Anolis sagrei: one gene and its partner. The protein of the gene in region 1 purifies or fractionates together with the protein of each later gene. This does not show direct contact. Links are inferred from orthologs where the notes say so. Each region holds a gene or a part of one and is shown in the gene's direction. Other genes may lie near its edges.

Evidence for each region.
Region 2: the proteins of IFT122 (region 1) and DNAJC7 purify together in Homo sapiens (co-immunoprecipitation; 3 studies listed by BioGRID and IntAct, counting the BioPlex papers as one, with this or other methods). This does not show direct contact. The link is inferred for Anolis sagrei from reciprocal best matches to the Homo sapiens genes IFT122 and DNAJC7.

The regions. Positions count from the first base shown.
Region 1 is NC_090022.1:49,983,917-49,987,835, forward strand, and holds the start of IFT122 (intraflagellar transport protein 122 homolog), read left to right. Parts: upstream 1-1,430; 5' UTR 1,431-1,632; coding exon 1,633-1,673; intron 1,674-3,919. Other genes in the region: MBD4 (methyl-CpG-binding domain protein 4), read right to left, coding at 1,208-1,227. UniProt on the Homo sapiens protein: As a component of the IFT complex A (IFT-A), a complex required for retrograde ciliary transport and entry into cilia of G protein-coupled receptors (GPCRs), it is required in ciliogenesis and ciliary protein trafficking.
Region 2 is NC_090026.1:45,047,733-45,051,651, reverse strand, and holds the start of DNAJC7 (dnaJ homolog subfamily C member 7), read left to right. Parts: upstream 1-1,142; 5' UTR 1,143-1,251; coding exon 1,252-1,367; intron 1,368-3,919. UniProt on the Homo sapiens protein: Acts as a co-chaperone regulating the molecular chaperones HSP70 and HSP90 in folding of steroid receptors, such as the glucocorticoid receptor and the progesterone receptor.

The DNA.
Region 1 (3,919 bases):
AACTCTAAAATTATAACAGCAAAACAACAGAGAGGAAACAATCTTGGACATCTAATCACCTCTCAACAAAAGATTGCCCCAGGCACTAGCAAGCCACACCAAACAACAGCCAGGCCATCAAATGCTAATCAAGGTGATCAGTTGAAACATTCACACCTAGCTCCAACAGACAAGAGTCCTTTGTCCCACCCTGGTCATTCCACATATATATAAACCCTTTTTCCTAGTTCCAACAGACCTCACTACCTCTGAGGATGCTTGCCATAGATGCAGGCGAAACGTCAGGAGAGAATGCCTCTAGAACATTTATGTATTTATTTACTTTGCTTGTATACCGCAGTTTCTCAGCCCGAAGGCGACTCAACGCGGTTCACAACATGAGCAAAAAGACAATCATAACAATATACAATTTAAAAACCAGTAAGGGCATAATATACAAAGTAATAACACATCAATAACAACACATTAACATCTCGTAACTAGAATCGTGATCCAAATTCGTCGTCTATGATTCCGTTCCTATGTTCACCATATTCATTGTAATGTTTATCCGAATGCCTGTTCAAACAGCCAGGTTTTTAGTTTTCTTCGAAACACCATTAGCGTAGGAGCTGATCTGATGTCCATGGGAAGGGCGTTCCACAGCCGAGGGGCCATCACAGAGAAGGCCCTGTCCCTCGTCCCCAACATGGCCATATAGCCCGAAAAAAACCTACAACAGCCTATGAATTTTAATGCATGTCCTTTTTTAAATCTCTATTTTGGGAGTTGTAGGCCAAAACACCTGGGCACCCACAGGTTGAGAACCACTGTCTTAAGTGATGTGCTAATGGAACACAAGCATTTATTCTCTGGCATCATGATGTCACATTTGCACTGAATTCCTGTTCTACTTGTGAACAGGGCTGAGAATTGCGGTATATAAGCACAGTAAATAAATAAATAATAAATAAATAAATAAAATAAGAAGGACCAGACCAAACTATTCATTCTCGGAAGTGGGCAGGTTGCAGGCCATTCAGGATGGAATCCATCCATGCAGTAGTTCTCAAACTTTGTTTTTTGGACTCCAACTCCCAGAATTCCTCGCCGTTGGACAAGCTAGCTGAGGGCTGCTGGGAGTTGAAGTCCCCAATCCTGGAGGATGGAAAACTTGGGGGCCACTGAAAGAAGGAGTCTATCATCTCTTTGTTGATGAAATCCATACCTGTCTGCAACTACCTGCATTGTTTCTCCGACAGGAATTTTGCCTCACCTCTCTATTAAGGCGGGAACTCATCTGCTCAATACGCATGCGCATTTTCACCCCCCTGAGACCAGATACGGGAGTAGTAGCCTATTAAGAAAGCGGGGCAGAGAGTCACCTGAGATCTCGCGAGAAGCAAGAGTGCGCTGAGGCAGATTTTGTTTGCGCATGCGTACTTGTGTTGTTTCTTCACTCGTATATCCAGCGGTGCTTAAGTGGAAATTTAGAGAAGAGGGATGGGAGGAAGGAGATGCGCATGCGCAAGTCCTCGTGCATCTCTGCCCAAAGAAGGGCGGTTTAACGTGGGCAAGAGTGCGCATGCGTGTTGCCTGGGGAGTCCGAATAAATAAAAGCGACAGCGTCCGTTGGTGGCTGTTGTGGAAAGGATGCGAGCTGCGTTGACCTGGAGGGATAAGGCCGAGCAGTGGTAAGAGCAACCGGGCTGGGAGAAGCTGGAGGTGCATCTACACTGTGGGATTAAGGCACTTTGACTCCACTTCTTTCAACTGCTATGGCTCAAGGCTGTGGAGTCCTGGGAGATGTAGTTTGTTGAGGCACCAGCACTCTCTGTCAGGGAAACCTAAGCACTTTGTAACATTACCCCCATGATCCATGGTATCTCAACTGCATTATTTTCTCAATGTAGACGTACCCTGAGAAGAGACAAGCTATCACTGCAAACTGAATGACAGCACCATGGCTCACTATGGAGTTAAGGGAATTGTAGTTTTACAAAGTCTTGAGCCTTCTCTGCCAATGAGTGCTGGTGCCTCACCAAACTACATAAGGAGCCCCCGGTGGCGCAGTGGGTTAAACCCCTGTGCCAGCAGGACTGAAGACCGACAGGTTCGAATCCGGGTAGAGTGCGGATGAGCTCCCTCTATCAGCTCCAGCTCCTCATGCAGTGACATGAGAGAAGCCTCCCACAAGGATGGTAAAAACATCTGGGCGTCCCCTGGGCAATGTCCTTGCAGGCAGCCAATTCTCTCACACCAGAAGCGACTTGAACTTTCTCAAGTTGCTTTGACACGGCAAACAAAACCAAACTACATATCCCAGGTAGAGCGCGGATGAGCTCCCTCTATCAGCTCCAGCTCCTCATGCAGTGACATGAGGGAAGCCTCCCATAAGGATGGTAAAAACATCTGGGCGTCCCCTGGCAATGTCCTTGCAGGCGGCCAATTCTCTCACACCAGAAGCGACTTGCAGTTTTTCAAGTTGTTTTGACACGGCAAACAAAACCAAACTACATATTCCAGGATTCCATAGCATTGAGCCATGGCAGCTAAAGGGGTGTCAAACTGTGGCAATTCAACAGTGTAGATCAGGCATGGGCAAACCTCGGCCCTCCAGGGGTTTTGGACTTCAGCTCCCACAATTCCTAGCTGCAACTCCCATAATTTCTAACAGCTGTATGTAGGCCATTGGCTGGCAAAAGTATGATAGCTGGGACCCAGTGCCGGTAGTGCTACGCTGGTTGCGTAATGTGGCTCAGAATTAGAGAAGGGAACATGTGCGCGAGAGACCACACGCAGTGAGAGACACAGCTATGACAGACTTGACAAGGTAGTTCGGTAGAAAGGAGGAGGGGACACAGGCAAGCATACTGATGTAGGCTATCCAGAGATCCTAGGCAAACATGTTCAAAAATGTTGCATTGGAAGGAAGGATAGAAAGGAAGGAAGAGAGAAACATGAGCAGTGATAAAAAATGAATCAAATCTTGTCACTCTTACATTACTTCACTGTTATCCTGTGCTACCTGCGTTACATTACTTCACTGGTATCCTGCCGCAGCTGCATCTCTCAGTCGATGCTCTGTCTCGCGCACATGTTCCTATCTCTAATTCAGAGCTGCGTTGTGCAACCAGCGTAGCACTACCAGCACTGGGGCCCAGCTATCATACTTTTGCCCATAGGGCGTTAGAAATTGTGGGAGTTGAAGTTAGGAATTGTGGGAACTGAAGTCCCAAACCTCTGGAGGGCCCAAGTTTTCTCATGCCTGGTGTTGATGCACCCTGCTCTTCCCAAGCAGCTCAGGCAAACAGTCTGCTGCAGCCTTTCCTAGGGTGCATCTACACTATAGAATTAATGCAATTTGGCACCACTTGAACTGAACCGCCATAGTGCACCAAGGAATCATGGGAGGTGATGTTTTCTAAGGCCATGAGCCTTCCCTGCCCAAGAGTGCTACCACATTACAACACCCGGGATCCCATAGCATTGAGCCAGGATGGTTCAAGTGGGGTCAAGCTGCATTAATTCTACAGTGTAGATGCACCCTTAGCTTGTCTTTTCCTCGTGGAGAATGTTTGAGCTACTCTTTTCCTGCTCTTTTGAACCACTTTTGCTGCTTGGTCAAATGGTTCTGTCTGCAAAATGTTGGCGAGTACACAGTAATTGTGGTGCAGTGTTTTAAGTATTGGATAATAATAATCATAATCATAATAATAATACTTTATTTGTAACCCTCCGTATCTCCCCAAAGGGACTCAGGGCAATTTTCAATGAGTAACAAAAAATGGAAAAAATAAAATAAAAGCCAAAAGCAGCCAAATGACAAATCACATCAAAAACAATGGATAAAACAATCTCAATATGAACTTATACAACTAACTGAAAAATAACTGAAAATTACACTTAAATAAACATAACACATCACACACATTTACCA
Region 2 (3,919 bases), on another chromosome or scaffold:
GAGGTGTTTCAACTTAGAAATGGAGATGAGCACCAACCCCCAGAGTTGGACATAACTGGACTTAATGTCAGGGGGAAACCTTTACCTTTACCTTTACTTTATATGACAATATTATTATTATATTGTATTACTAGCCATCCCCTGCCACGCGTTGCTGTAGCCCACATGAGGGTTCTGTGTGGGAGGTTTGGCCCAATTCTTTCATTGGTGGGGTTCAGAATGCTCTGTGATCGTAGGTGAACTATAAATCCCAGCAACTACAACTCCCAAATGTCAAAATTCTGTTTTCCCCAAACTTCACCAGTGTTCACATTTGGGCATATTGAGTATATGTGTAGAGTTTGGTCCAGATCCATCATTGTTTCAGTCCACAGTGCTCTCTGGATGTAGGTGAACTACAACTCCAAAACCAAAGGACGCTGCCCACCAAACCCTTCCAGTATTTTCTGTTGGTCAAGGGAGTTCCGAGTGCCAAGTTGGGTTCAATTCAATCATTGGTGGAGTTCAGAATGCTCTTTGATTGTAGGTGAAGTATAAATCCCAGCAACTACAACTCCCAAGTGACAAAATCAGGGTTTTTTTAGTGATGGTCACTCCTTGGGTTAGTAGGTGTCTTGTGGCCAAATTCGGCAGCAATTCATCCAGTGGTTGGTGGGGTTCAGAATGCTCTTTGATTGTAAGTGAACTATAAATCTCAGCAACTATAAATCCCTGTAGAGTTTGGTCCAAATCCATCATTGTTTGAGTCCAAAGTGATCTCTGGATGTAGGTGAACTACAACTCCAAAACTTTATATAAATTGCATTATTATTATAAATAATTTATATTTTTATAAATAATTTTATATTATTATATTGTATTATGATTAGTTTTATACTCTTACATTATATTATTATCAATATTCTATGTACATACAATATATTATATGATTAGCACAGAACAATATTAGTAGCTATTTATTAAATAAATTATTTAGTATTTTATTTATTAAATAAATAGTGCATAGAAGCCAAACTCTGTCCTGCCACAGAGTCCTCCACTCTCCCACTTGGTAACCTAGGAGACCCAGAGGTTCCCTCTTGGCGGACTTAGCCCCCATCTCCTCTCTAGCCCCCATCTCCTCTCTCCCTCTCCGGAAGTGCACTTTTTTCCTGTCTTCCGCTCTCTCCTCTCGTTCGCCTCGCGCTCTGTCTCTCTCTCCCTCTCTCTTCCCGGCTCGCCGGCCGTTGATTGCAGCAACAAGGAAGCAAGATGGCGTCGGCGGGCGGAGATTGCGACGTGATTATGGCGGCCGCCCCGGCGGTGGCTTCGCATCCTGAGGCGCCGGTGATGCTGGGCGACGAGGACGAGGAGTCGGAGACGCGGAGGTAAGGCCTGGCTCCTCTCCCGAGGCGGGAAGGGCCTGCTTCTTCGCTTCAGGACGGGGAGGAGGAGCCTGCTTCACAGGAAAGCGGGGGGAAAGGAGGCCCTCTCCAGGGGCCTTCTGCAGGCAGCATTGTCATGCCTCTCAGCCCCTTTCTCGGGGTTCTGGAGTGCCAGAATGCTGCACCCCAGCATGAGTGCAGTTTGACCCCACTTAAACAGCTAAGGCTCCATGTTATGGGGCCCTGGGATTTGTAGTTTGCTGGGAGCAGACGACGTCGAAGCCCTTGGCAACTAAAGTGGATCCAAGTTTGCAAACAAACCATTAATTCAGGGTTGCTGTGAGTTTTTCGGCCTGTATGGTCGTGTTTCAGTATTGAAAAGAGTGAATGAATTGTTTACTGTACCAGCCATAGGCCATGACATCACATAATATACAACCTTTAAAAGTACAATGAGAAGTTCCCAATATGACTATTACTTACTTAGGTGATCCCTCGTTTTCCGAGGAGGATTGTCTTCCAGTATTCTTGTGGGTCCGTATGTGGCTGTGGAGCCCTATTCTTGCTCTGCATCTTCTTCTGCAGTGAGGGCATTGGTTTCCAGGTGGAAGGCGGTCTCGGTCGGGGTTGGCTTGACACGCCTTCCTCTTGGCACGCTTCTCCCTTTCGCCCTCCATTCATGCCTCTTCAAATTCTGCAGCACTGCTGGTCACAGCTGACCTCCAGCTGGAGCGGTCAAGGGCCAGAGCTTCCCTGTTCTCAGAACTTGTATGTAGTTGCCTTCACTTAGGTGATCCCTCGTTGTCCGAGTAGGATTGTCTTCCAGAATAGGTGTACTGGCGGTGGGTATGTAGGTGACTGTGGAGCCCTATTCTTGATCTGCATGTTCTCCCACAGTGAGGGCATTGGTTTCCAGGTGGAAGGCAGTTCTGGTTGGCTTGACATGCCTTCCTCTTGGCACATTTTTCTCTTTCACCCTCCATTCGTGCCTCTTCAAATTCTGCAGCACTGCTGGTCACAGCTGACCTCCAGCTGGAGTGGTCAAGGGCCAGAACTTCCCAGTTCTCAGTGTCTTTGCCAGAGTTTTTAAGGTTGGTTTTGAGCCCATCTTTAAATCTCTTTTCCTGTCCACCAACATTCCGTTTTCCGTTCTTGAGTTTGGAGTAGAGCAATTGCTTTGGGAGATGGTGGTCAGGCATCCGGACAACGTGGCCGGTCCAGCGGAGTTGATGGCGGAGGACCATTGCTTCAGTGCTGGTGGTCTTTGCTTCTTCCAGCACGCTGAAGTTTGTCCGCTTGTCTTCCCAAGAGATTTGTAGGATTTTCCAGAGGCAGCGCTGATGGAATCATTCCAGGAGTTGCATGTGATGTCTGTAGACAGTCCACGTCTCACAGGCATATAGCAGGGTTGGGAGGACAATAGCTCTATAAACAAGCACCTTGGTATCCCTACGGATGTTCCAGTCCTCAAACACTCTCTACTTCATTCACAACCACAAAGGTCTGATTTGTAACATCCCAAAACATATCCATTTCTCGCTTCTGCTATGGACTTTAATAATAATAATGATAATAATATATATTTGTGTTCTATTTTAAGAGGACCAAACGTATGTTGTATGTTGTGTTTGCACTGTCTGTTTTTGATAAGGCCAACTGGCTAATCAATAAAATTGTTGTAATAATAATAGTAATCATCATCATCATCACTTTATTTTTCTATCCTGCCTCCATCTCCCCAAAGGGACTCTGGGCAGCTTACATGGGGCCATGCCCAGAAAACATACAGTTAAAAACAGAACAGCAAAATATAAAACAGCATAAAAACAACATCATCATCAAAAAATAAAAGCAAGCATCATAAGCAACAACATAGGTACCTCTAATCTCAATTTTTGCAGGGAGAGGATCAATATATAGTTATTTGTTTGTTTACAGTATTTATATTCCACCCTTCTCACCCCGCAGGTGACTTAGGGCAGATTACAATGTACATATACATGGCAAACATTCAATGCCATAGACACATAACATATATAGACAGACACTCAGGGGCTATTTAACAATCCAGCTTTTTCATGAGGATATTCTGGCCACCAGGGGAGCTGTCGCTTCACCCTCCATAAAAAAACCACCAGAATCAAGAGAGTAAATAAAGAACACTACTCAAACAGGGGAATTCCAGACAGCCAATCATCAAGTGCCTGTTAACACCTCCCAAAGATGCCCCCAGGCAGCAACAGCCATGTTTAGGAGAGCCATCGAGTACTTCGTGTGCTAGGGTTCCTTGTGCAAAGCCTGTAAAACTGGGTTAGTATTATGAGTGCTTGTAGAAAGCCTTCAATGGCCTTTGGTCATCCAGTGAAATTCTGTAGTGGACTTGACATTTTTGCCAGGTAATCAAGTGCCACATCATTCCAGTTTGTCAGAGAGAACAAACCTGTTCCTGTGTGATCCCAGAAAGTTTGAGCAGCCACCACATTGTGTCCATATTGGGATTGAAATGGTTCTTTCTTCAAGTTAGCCAAGTTATTGTTGGGTTTTTTTTTTCTTTT